Linked DNA regions of Arabidopsis thaliana. The protein of the gene in region 1 interacts with the protein of each later gene in a pairwise test. Each region holds a gene or a part of one and is shown on either strand. Other genes may lie near its edges. The genes, in order: FKBP13 and LTO1.

What was found.
Region 2: the proteins of FKBP13 (region 1) and LTO1 interact in a two-hybrid assay, tested with the Arabidopsis thaliana proteins (one study listed by BioGRID).

The regions. Positions count from the first base shown.
Region 1 is NC_003076.8:18,528,872-18,532,873, reverse strand, and holds FKBP13 (FK506-binding protein 13), read right to left. Parts: upstream 2,041-4,002; 5' UTR 1,981-2,040; coding exon 1,642-1,980; intron 1,549-1,641; coding exon 1,456-1,548; intron 1,373-1,455; coding exon 1,312-1,372; intron 969-1,311; coding exon 900-968; intron 811-899; coding exon 746-810; 3' UTR 537-745; downstream 1-536. Other genes in the region: AT5G45670 (GDSL-like Lipase/Acylhydrolase superfamily protein), read right to left, coding at 2,710-2,933, 3,019-3,274, 3,427-3,672, 3,821-3,945. UniProt on the Arabidopsis thaliana protein: PPIases accelerate the folding of proteins. It catalyzes the cis-trans isomerization of proline imidic peptide bonds in oligopeptides. Responsive of the major PPIase activity in the chloroplast thylakoid lumen.
Region 2 is NC_003075.7:16,941,216-16,946,357, reverse strand, and holds LTO1 (NAD(P)H dehydrogenase (quinone)s), read left to right. Parts: upstream 1-1,680; 5' UTR 1,681-1,735; coding exon 1,736-1,834; intron 1,835-1,910; coding exon 1,911-2,196; intron 2,197-2,476; coding exon 2,477-2,733; intron 2,734-2,829; coding exon 2,830-2,942; intron 2,943-3,092; coding exon 3,093-3,240; intron 3,241-3,324; coding exon 3,325-3,564; coding exon of another isoform or gene 3,565-3,625; 3' UTR 3,626-4,327; downstream 4,328-5,142. Other genes in the region: SEN1 (Rhodanese/Cell cycle control phosphatase superfamily protein), read right to left, coding at 375-449, 530-583, 684-754, 845-1,041, 1,134-1,285; AT4G35750 (SEC14 cytosolic factor family protein / phosphoglyceride transfer family protein), read left to right, coding at 4,684-4,807, 4,894-5,142. UniProt on the Arabidopsis thaliana protein: Thiol-disulfide oxidoreductase catalyzing disulfide bond formation of chloroplast proteins and involved in redox regulation and photosynthetic electron transport.

The DNA.
Region 1 (4,002 bases):
TTTAGGATTCGAAAAAAGCAAAAACAACATAGATCACAGTTGGATCATGTTGAGGGTTCGAGTGGAAGATACTATTACTAAGCCATCCATCGGAGAGAACAATCATTTACCTTGTGAATAGTGATCGGTAAGATTAAAAGCCATCATAAAAACTTTGGCAAAAAAGAGAGAATAAATCTGTTACAAATTATAAATAATGTAACCCGACCGACATCGGAGTTTTGGAAGCCACCCCCACAAATTTACCGGTACACTAATCTGAAACATGTAATATTCTTCAATATTTTTGCCCCCAAGAAAGTTTATGTCTAGATCTTTGATCTCCCAATGGTCTCTATTTTATGCAACTTGCTCTGTTTAACGCTCCTTTTCTTGTGTTTCTACCGCATCTACTTGCTTCTTACGTTAGCTTATCAACGTTCTACTTCTAGTGTCTGAGAAATCGGGAACTACACTATACGACGTTTGGATAGATATGTCAGAGATCTTTTGACGAATTTTTTTTGTCTGAAAATCATTTCTCTGGATTTGAGTTTGGGTTTCCGGTTTTACTTGGTTTATTGAATTTTCATATTTTAGTAATAGATAAAAGGTAGAAAACCAAACAAAAGATAGAAAAAGCTGAGATATTCACTTGATTACATAGTAGAAAAAATAATAGACATATTTTTTTCTTCTATAAGGATGATTCAAACAAGAGTATGATATGGCTCAGAAAAGGCAAAGCAAAAGCAAAAAAGCTCTCTCAAGCTTTACCTATGTACTCAATGTCAAAGAGAAGAACCGAAGCTGGAGGAATAAGGCATGAGCCTGCGCGAAAACAAGTTTAGGCTTAGTTAATTAATTAGCTTATTATCAACAATATAACATAAGATTTTGTGATCAAAATATATTTTTACCTCCTTTGCAACCTGCGCCTCGATCACCATACGCGAGTTCTGGAGGAATCCTCAATGTTCGTTTCCCACCTGAAGAAAGAAACCAAATCAAAACTGCAGATTAGACCAACAGAGTTATATGATGTAAACATGACAATATTTCTGTTGAAATCAAATTATTTTAAACACTATGTAGACTTAAACTATATACCTCTAACATAAATATCTAAATATTATGGTAGAAAGTTATAGAGATTAGGATACAAACTGATGAACACTATCTAGTTACATACAAAAGATTCTTTCAGTGTTTCTAAGGTCTTATGGTCTAAGCATAGTGATGACCACTATCTAGTTTAGTTACATGCAACTAAAGTTTCATGTTTCCTCTGTATATGCTATGTTAAATTTTTTAAAAATTGAGCATATATACCAGTAAGCATAGGAGGAATTCCATCAGAGCCAAGGATTCCTTGATCCCAACCTTTTATCACCTGTATAGTATGTTTTCTCACATAATGTTAAAAGTTTAAACAAATGGGAGGCTTTGGCAAAAGTAATGTTTATCCTTGATTACCTCACCAACACCAATTCGGAAAGTAAGAGGTTTCCCTCGATTATAGCTACTATCAAAGACTTTCCCATTCTCCAACTTCCCTACATAATGTGCCTGCAATAAACATTCAAGAATCATCAAACATTCATAAAGAAATTGCAAAAAGTCATTGTAATTTGAGATATTATTGATATACTTAAAAATCACCTTGATTAGTTGCCCTTTAACAGCTTCAGGACCATAACCAACAACTTTATCACAAAAAGCAAGACCAGAAGGAGACACAGAGAATTCACAAGAAGTTGTTTCGGCTAATGCAGAAACATTATCAAGCAAGCCAATAGAGAAACCAAAACCAATAATTGCTTCTCTTCTACCACATGAGGATAATTGGGCAAAACTTAACTCAGGATCAGAAGAAACTTTTTGCTTGTTTCTCAAGTTAATAGCCTCTGCTTTGTTTAAGCTATTATTCACAAGAAATCTGCATTTTCTTTTCTCACTTGGAGGAGAACAAGTTCCAACTGAAAACCCCAAGGAGCTCATTATCTTCTCTATCCAGATAAAGAATAATCTCAAAGAAGATAATAAAAAAGCTTTGTGTTGGACAATCAGCAATCCTTGCTGGCAAACAAAGCAACCACACAAAATTGGGCTTCATCTTTTATCATATTTTCAAGATTAAAGCCTTACAGGCCCAATATGAATAGCTTTGATGATTAGTAATGTGTTGTAGAATTTTTAGCTTTTATCATCTAAAGTCTAAACCCTCTTAGATGATTCAAAAAGAGAGTAGTAATTCATGAACTTTTCTCTAAAGCCTAAATAATGCCTCAACTTTCAAGGCATTTTCAATTAGATCGATTTTTAACATTACCATATGCTACTATCATTTAAAAATCATGGTACACTATTTTCTTCTACCTTTTCATTTTTAAGTATTTAGTCAGTTAAATTAAAATTGCAATAAATTTAAAAACCAACCAACCAACCATGAACCACCCAACGACATTTCTGAATATGTTTGGTTTGAACTTCCTTCTTTGGTTCCACTTTCTTTTGTTTTGGAGCAAAGACGAACTAACACATTTGTAATGAAAGAATCAAATTTATAAAACTGTTAAGAGAAAAAGAGATAAACAGTAACTCCAAATCATTACATAAACAGTTATGACATCACACAACACAAACCAAATCACTTCTTCTTGAGTCCAAAACTCAGCTGCCATTGAAGAACTATCAAAATACTTAGACAACCAAAAGATCTTTCTCTCTTTAGAGAGATGCTAGCTGCTGAATATCATAAGGATGAGCATCAGAAGCAGCTTCTCGCTTAAAAGATCGTCTTCCAATAACAATATTCGCAGCTTCACCGGGATGAAACGCATCCCAAAACACATACTCATTCCTATTTAGACATGGTGCTTGACCTGGAAGACAAGTTATCTGTCCATTGTTCCTCCCAACTCCACAACATCCTGCATTTGTCACTCTAAACCCTGCAAAATTTTCAACGAAACTTTGAGCAAATCATCATAAGAAAAAACGTTTACTTCAATCACAATTTGATGATTGATCTATTACCGTAGCGAGCAGGGTTTGTAATAATGTCTTGGAAGATGCCATAAGCGTTGATGTAAGTGAATTTTGCATCTGGTGTGTTCTGGTTAAAAGCGTCGACTATAGATATGAGTTTGCTGTTAAAGATTCTGTTCGCTGAGTTGATTCTTTCGTCACACGTTCTTCCGTCTCTGCTGTTTTGAGCTAGCTCGTTCGGGCTGCAACCGATTGCCCCGACTCCTATCAACGCAAACTTCCTCGCTCCATTGGTATACAGTACCTGCTCCATCACAAAAAAAAACAGACATTAAAACCTTAATCTCTCACTCAGAGGATCAAGTAACATAAAGAACCAGAGTAGAAACTATAAAACAGAGAGGCAAAACCAGAGGAAAACTAAGAAACAGAGGATATAGAAGTGTGTATACGAACCCTGAGTTGTTCGGTGTAACGGGCAACGAGATCGTCGGCATAGGATTCGGGGGAGAACTGGTTACCGGTAGAGTAAAAAGTAGGCATGAAGTAGTTGTTAAGATAATCGTTACTGCCTAATCCGATAGAGTAAATGCATTTGCTGAGGTAATTCGAGGCTTCGTTTTGATCACCAAGTATGTTCACTACTTGTGACACAGTGTTCACGTGATTTGCTACTTGCCCTGCAAATGCTATTCGACCTCCCTGAGGAACAATAACAAGAACAAGTCAAGTTTTAAGAAGCTCTAGAACAAGATAAGCCAAATTCAAATATATCAAACCAGACCAAAACCAAAACATAAACCGAATAGTAATAGTTTTTTTGTCAAAGAGAAATAGTAGTAGTAGTTACCAATTGTCTGCCGGTTTCGTCTCGGATTCCGGCAGCAGCGGAAGCATAGTTAACTCCTCGGAGAATGTCTTGTCCTCTTGCAGAAGCGTAAGGTGTAATGTAGTCCTCGAAACCCAAAAGCTGAGCTAATGTTTTGAAAGAAACAGAGCAAAAAAATAGTCTAAGTGGGAATAAAAACAGAG
Region 2 (5,142 bases), on another chromosome or scaffold:
GTTTTTCTATCATTTTATAAATTTAACACTTAAACTTAAAGAATAATAATTTAAAACCAATTTAAAACTTAAATTTTAAGAAAGTAATTAATAATTTTTAACTAAAATAATGTTAATTTCACTATTATCATTTAAAAATTAGTTTAAGTATTAAAATTTTAAAACGGCGAAAACTAAACGTGTGTAGGCATGCATCCCCGTCCTTAATTGGTCCGTAAACTTTGTGGTGTTCGAAGTTCGGTAAAGCTTTCACCCAATATAGATTTGACAGTTAAACTATGTTTTAGAGAATAATAATGATGATTGATACTTGCGTTGAGAACATCTACAGAATTTATTGATAATTACAGGAGGTGATATGGCTATGATTGTTTTCACTCTTCTACCGGCAGCTCATTCTCTGTCCAAGCGACGTATCCTCCAGCAATGTCTGTGATCGCCGTGAAGCCCTGTACATGTGGCGACATTAAACCCGCTTGTCCTAAACCGGATAACGGCTATATAAATTGAAGTGATATTACACACATACAGCAGTGAGAAGATCAGTTGAGGCCATAAATGACATTTGACCGCTCTCACAACCCTGCAGAAGTAGTTTATTACGTGCATCAGAGATTTTGTGAAACAAGGGATTGTCTTCATAGGGGTTTATTTAGTCTCTGAATGTCAAAACTGAAACTTACGATTATGATTTCATCGTGTTTCCTGAAGTGGGACGAGACCTGTCTTAGAAAACTCGGGTTCTTAACCATTCCTGCAACGGTTTTGGCTTGGTGTTAGTTTTAAGTTGTTTTTCATTTTCACTCTTTCTCATAAGAGGAACCTTAAGGTCGGTGATGAAAACCTGATCCGACTCTGTACATGTAAGGTACGTTGATGGCTCTAGTCGGATGTCCGATGCTGAATTCGTCTGGTGTCCTCACGTCGAGATAGCGGTATCCTGCTTGAGCTAGCTCACGCGCCACTCTTACTGGTACTGACGTAGGAATTTTAACTGCCTCTGCTGCAACATTTCCTCTGCTTGTTGTCGTTGCTTTCCTCCTTGAGCAAGAAGTTAATACTCAGATTTAATATTTATTCATAATCTAAAATCAGATAGAGAAGGCGATTCTCGTCGTTGATTGCTAGCTTACCATCGGAAGTTTGAGTTTCGAAGATCAGCTACAATAACACCTCTTCGTGTTGGTAATTGGCACTTGAAAGATCCACATGTTTGTAGAGGTGGAGAAATAGCCGATGACCAGTTTCCAATTCGTGATGTTGTGTTAAAAGCAGTGGTTTCCATTTTCACTTCTTCTTTGAAACTTCTTTTAGAATGCTTTGATGCTACTTAGATACTTCTTCTCTTAGTTCTATAGCGTTTATATAATACATACAGACACAAAGGTATGGGTGTCACGTCAGCAAGTTTTATGTCCGATCTTCGAGTCTCTATCATTTCTATGGATAAATTCAATTATGTACCAAAGTCGATTCCAAAATGTAAACAATGCGTAGATAATGAATCATGATAAGTCCAACTCGGTGCCTCGTGAGTCGTGTTGAAGAGGATAACTTGCTGACTCGGACGGATAAGAAGACCGTAAGGCCCAATTGTGATAAACTAATTATGGATCCAAATTATCGTATTTGGGCCTCGTTTAGGCCCAATATTGAAACAAGTGGCTGAGATAGTGGAGCGGAGGAGAGAAGATGATGAAGTTAACAATGGTGGAATAGCGATTCTTCGACGACGATGATGGCGAGGTTTGTTTCTGTGTCGTCTTGTCAGTTTCATTTCGGCTTCCGTGAGGTTTCTCCTCCGTCGGTAACTTCTTATCCTAGACGATTCGAGGTAAATTCTTGTCATGTGTTTTCTTCAGTGACAGTAGTGTGTGATCGGTCATTTGAAGTCAGATGTTCTGAATTAGGTCTCTGATCGGAGATTTCCTGCGATTCCGATTAAATGTTCTTCATCTGAGCCGGAAAACGGTGAGGATTCGGCACCGTCGCTGTCTTCCTCCTCCTCATCGTCTACAAGTGAAGTATCTACTAGTAACAGTTCGACATACAACTGGTACACCGGAATCGGCGGTATTGGGATGTTAGACACTGCGTATTTGACTTACCTCAAGGTCACTGGCTCCGATGCGTTTTGCCCTATTGGTGGTGGCACTTGCGGTGATGTCCTCAACAGCGATTATGCCGTCGTTTTCGGTATTATCCATCGCTTTATTGATTATAGCGTTTGATTTATGTAGCTAATTGTCCTCTCTTTTATAGTAGGCATGATTAAATACTCGCATGTGATAGTCTCTGTGAATCTTTGCTTGAAGCTATATCATTTAGGAGCTTTGGTACTTAGTATGCATAGAATTGTTAGAGTTAAATAGCATGCTTCACTCCACTCTATGTAGTGCTTTGTCTTCGTTGTTTGTCCAACATTGCATTGCAGGTAAGTTGAACTCAATGAAAATCCTTTTTTACATTTTGCCAGGTGTTCCTCTTCCAGTGATTGGATTTGTTATGTATGGCGTAGTAACCGCTCTAAGTGCAGAGCTTGGGGAAGGGAATCTACCTTTTGGAATCAGTAAGAGCAATGGGCGTTTCGCGTTATTTGGGATCACGACTGCAATGGCATCTGCTAGTGCATATTTCCTGTATATCCTTAGCACAAAACTCTCAGGATCATCATGCCTGTATTGTCTGGTGTCTGCTTTCTTATCATTTAGTCTATTTTTCCTCTCTGTAAAGGTATCCCTTTATTTCCATTTCTTTTTTTTTCCTGATGTTGACTCAAGATAACTTCTAAACTTCGGATTATGATAATGTGCTCCATGCATGTGGTAGGATGTGAAGTTGCAAGAAATACAGCAAGTTGTAGGATTGCAGATATGCTTAGCAATCATAGTAGTTGCCTCCTTGACTGCTTCTTACAGTACTGCTCAACCAATCCCTTCACGGTAATCAAAGTTCATAGTTTTCTTTGGGGAGTCCCGATAGAAATTTTAGTCATTTGTAACGAGTAGTGAACAAATAGCTTCCGAAAGATGTATGAGTCTTATCAGGTGGTCTCTTTTAATCCCGATCGTTTTTTGTTTCACTCCTTCCAGCTCTGGTGACATTGAACTGCCATATTTTAGAACAGAGATCAGTTCATCATCGAGCCCTTATGCTATTGCTTTAGCAAAACATCTAAACTCCATTGGAGCTAAAATGTATGGGGCATTCTGGTGTTCTCACTGCTTAGAGCAAAAAGAGGTAGTTAGTTCATTCATCACCTGTTTGCCAAGAATCAGTTTTATGCTTTTATTATATGTTCATTATAGTTCCATCCATCTACAGATGTTTGGAAGAGAAGCGGCAAAAGAACTGAACTACGTGGAATGTTTTCCGGATGGATATAAGAAAGGAACTAAGATACTCAAGGCATGTGCAGATGCTGCGATCGAAGGATTCCCAACATGGATAATAAATGATAAGGTGAGTAAATCCTCTGAACCCCTTGTACATTTCATCACATGTCAGTACCTATTTCACCTCTTTTATAAATTAGGTCTTAAGCGGAGAAATAGAACTCGCTGAACTAGCGGAGATGACTGGATTCAGCCTTGATCAGGCAAATGAGACCAATCAACTTCAGTAAATTTTGTATTGGTGCAGAAAATATTAAGGTGAATCCGTAAATGTTGTTTACTTGATCCTCCTGATAGCTATAGGGTGTTCTATACAAATTCAAGTAATGAAAGTGCTTATTGTTGCCATAGGAGGTTACAACTTCATCTGTATCACTTAGCCTACACCAGAGCATCACTATTTTATAATTGAAAGATTCATAGGTTCTTCCAAAGAATGTTAGGGTACTATTAATTCGAGAATCTACAGCCATCTAGTACTGGCTTTATGTAAGTATAATGTCTAAAAGTATGGTCTATATAAGAGAGTCACACATGTATTTTGTATATATATGCGTGTAGAGTAGTAGCAGATATATGATGTATGGGAAACTTAGAGAATTACGTTTACAATATTTGGTGCCCTATTGAATACCTTCCTTGAATGTGCCTCCTCGGTATTTTTCTATTGTAATGATCCATCCACAAGTTTCGCTGTTATTATCCGTTTAATATGCAGAAGATAATGTTTTTCCTTATATTTTTTAAAAGATTCCATTGGGCATTGGATAGATATGAACATAGAGATCTTTATAATCTTTAATAATTTGTAAGCTCAGATTAGTTTAACTCAACATCGGATGGGATGATCCAAAATAACGCCCATCTTATCCAATAATCTACATGAATCATGTGATGAGACGTAACGCTTAAGGCGGGGGGCGGGAAAAGAGTCAAAAAAGGCAGTAGCCGTTAGATGTAGCAAAAACGGATGGACCAGATTAGTTGCTTAACAACGAAAGATCAAGAGAGGGCGAAAAAGGTAATAATTATTGGAATGTAGGACCCACAAAGAGGTGAGGAAGATCATGATAAAAAGGAAGATGCTATAGAATATTCGTAAGAGCCCGTCGTTTCTCCCATTACCCTCCAATTAATACACTATTTTTTTTATTTTTTTGTCTTTCCCTTTTTAAAATGATCATCATCTTCTTCTTCACTCGCCTCAATTTTTGTTCCCTTCTTCTTCTATAATTCAACTGTGAATTTCACCGACGAAACAAAAAAGAGAGAGAGAGAGAGAGAAACGATGAGTTCTCAGATTTCGGAGATTGAACAAGAGCAGCTGATCGAGAAGCTTGAGATCTTCAAGATCCATGGCAGAGACAAACGTGGCCGTAAGATCCTTCGTATTATCGGAAAATTCTTCCCAGGTACTGATATATCAATCGGATCTGTTTCTTTTTCTCTCTGTGTAGATTTGTTCTTATATTTGAGTTTTTTTTGTTTCTGAAATCAGCTCGATTTCTGTCACTGGATGTGTTGAAGAAGTATCTAGAGGAGAAGATATTTCCTCGATTAGGTAGAAAACCATTCGCCGTACTCTACGTCCACACCGGCGTACAGAGAAGCGAGAACTTCCCAGGTATCTCAGCTCTACGAGCGATCTACGACGCAATTCCGGTAAACGTCAGAGACAATCTTCAGGAGGTTTACTTCCTCCATCCAGGTCTTCAATCACGTCTCTTCCTCGCCACCTGCGGCCGAT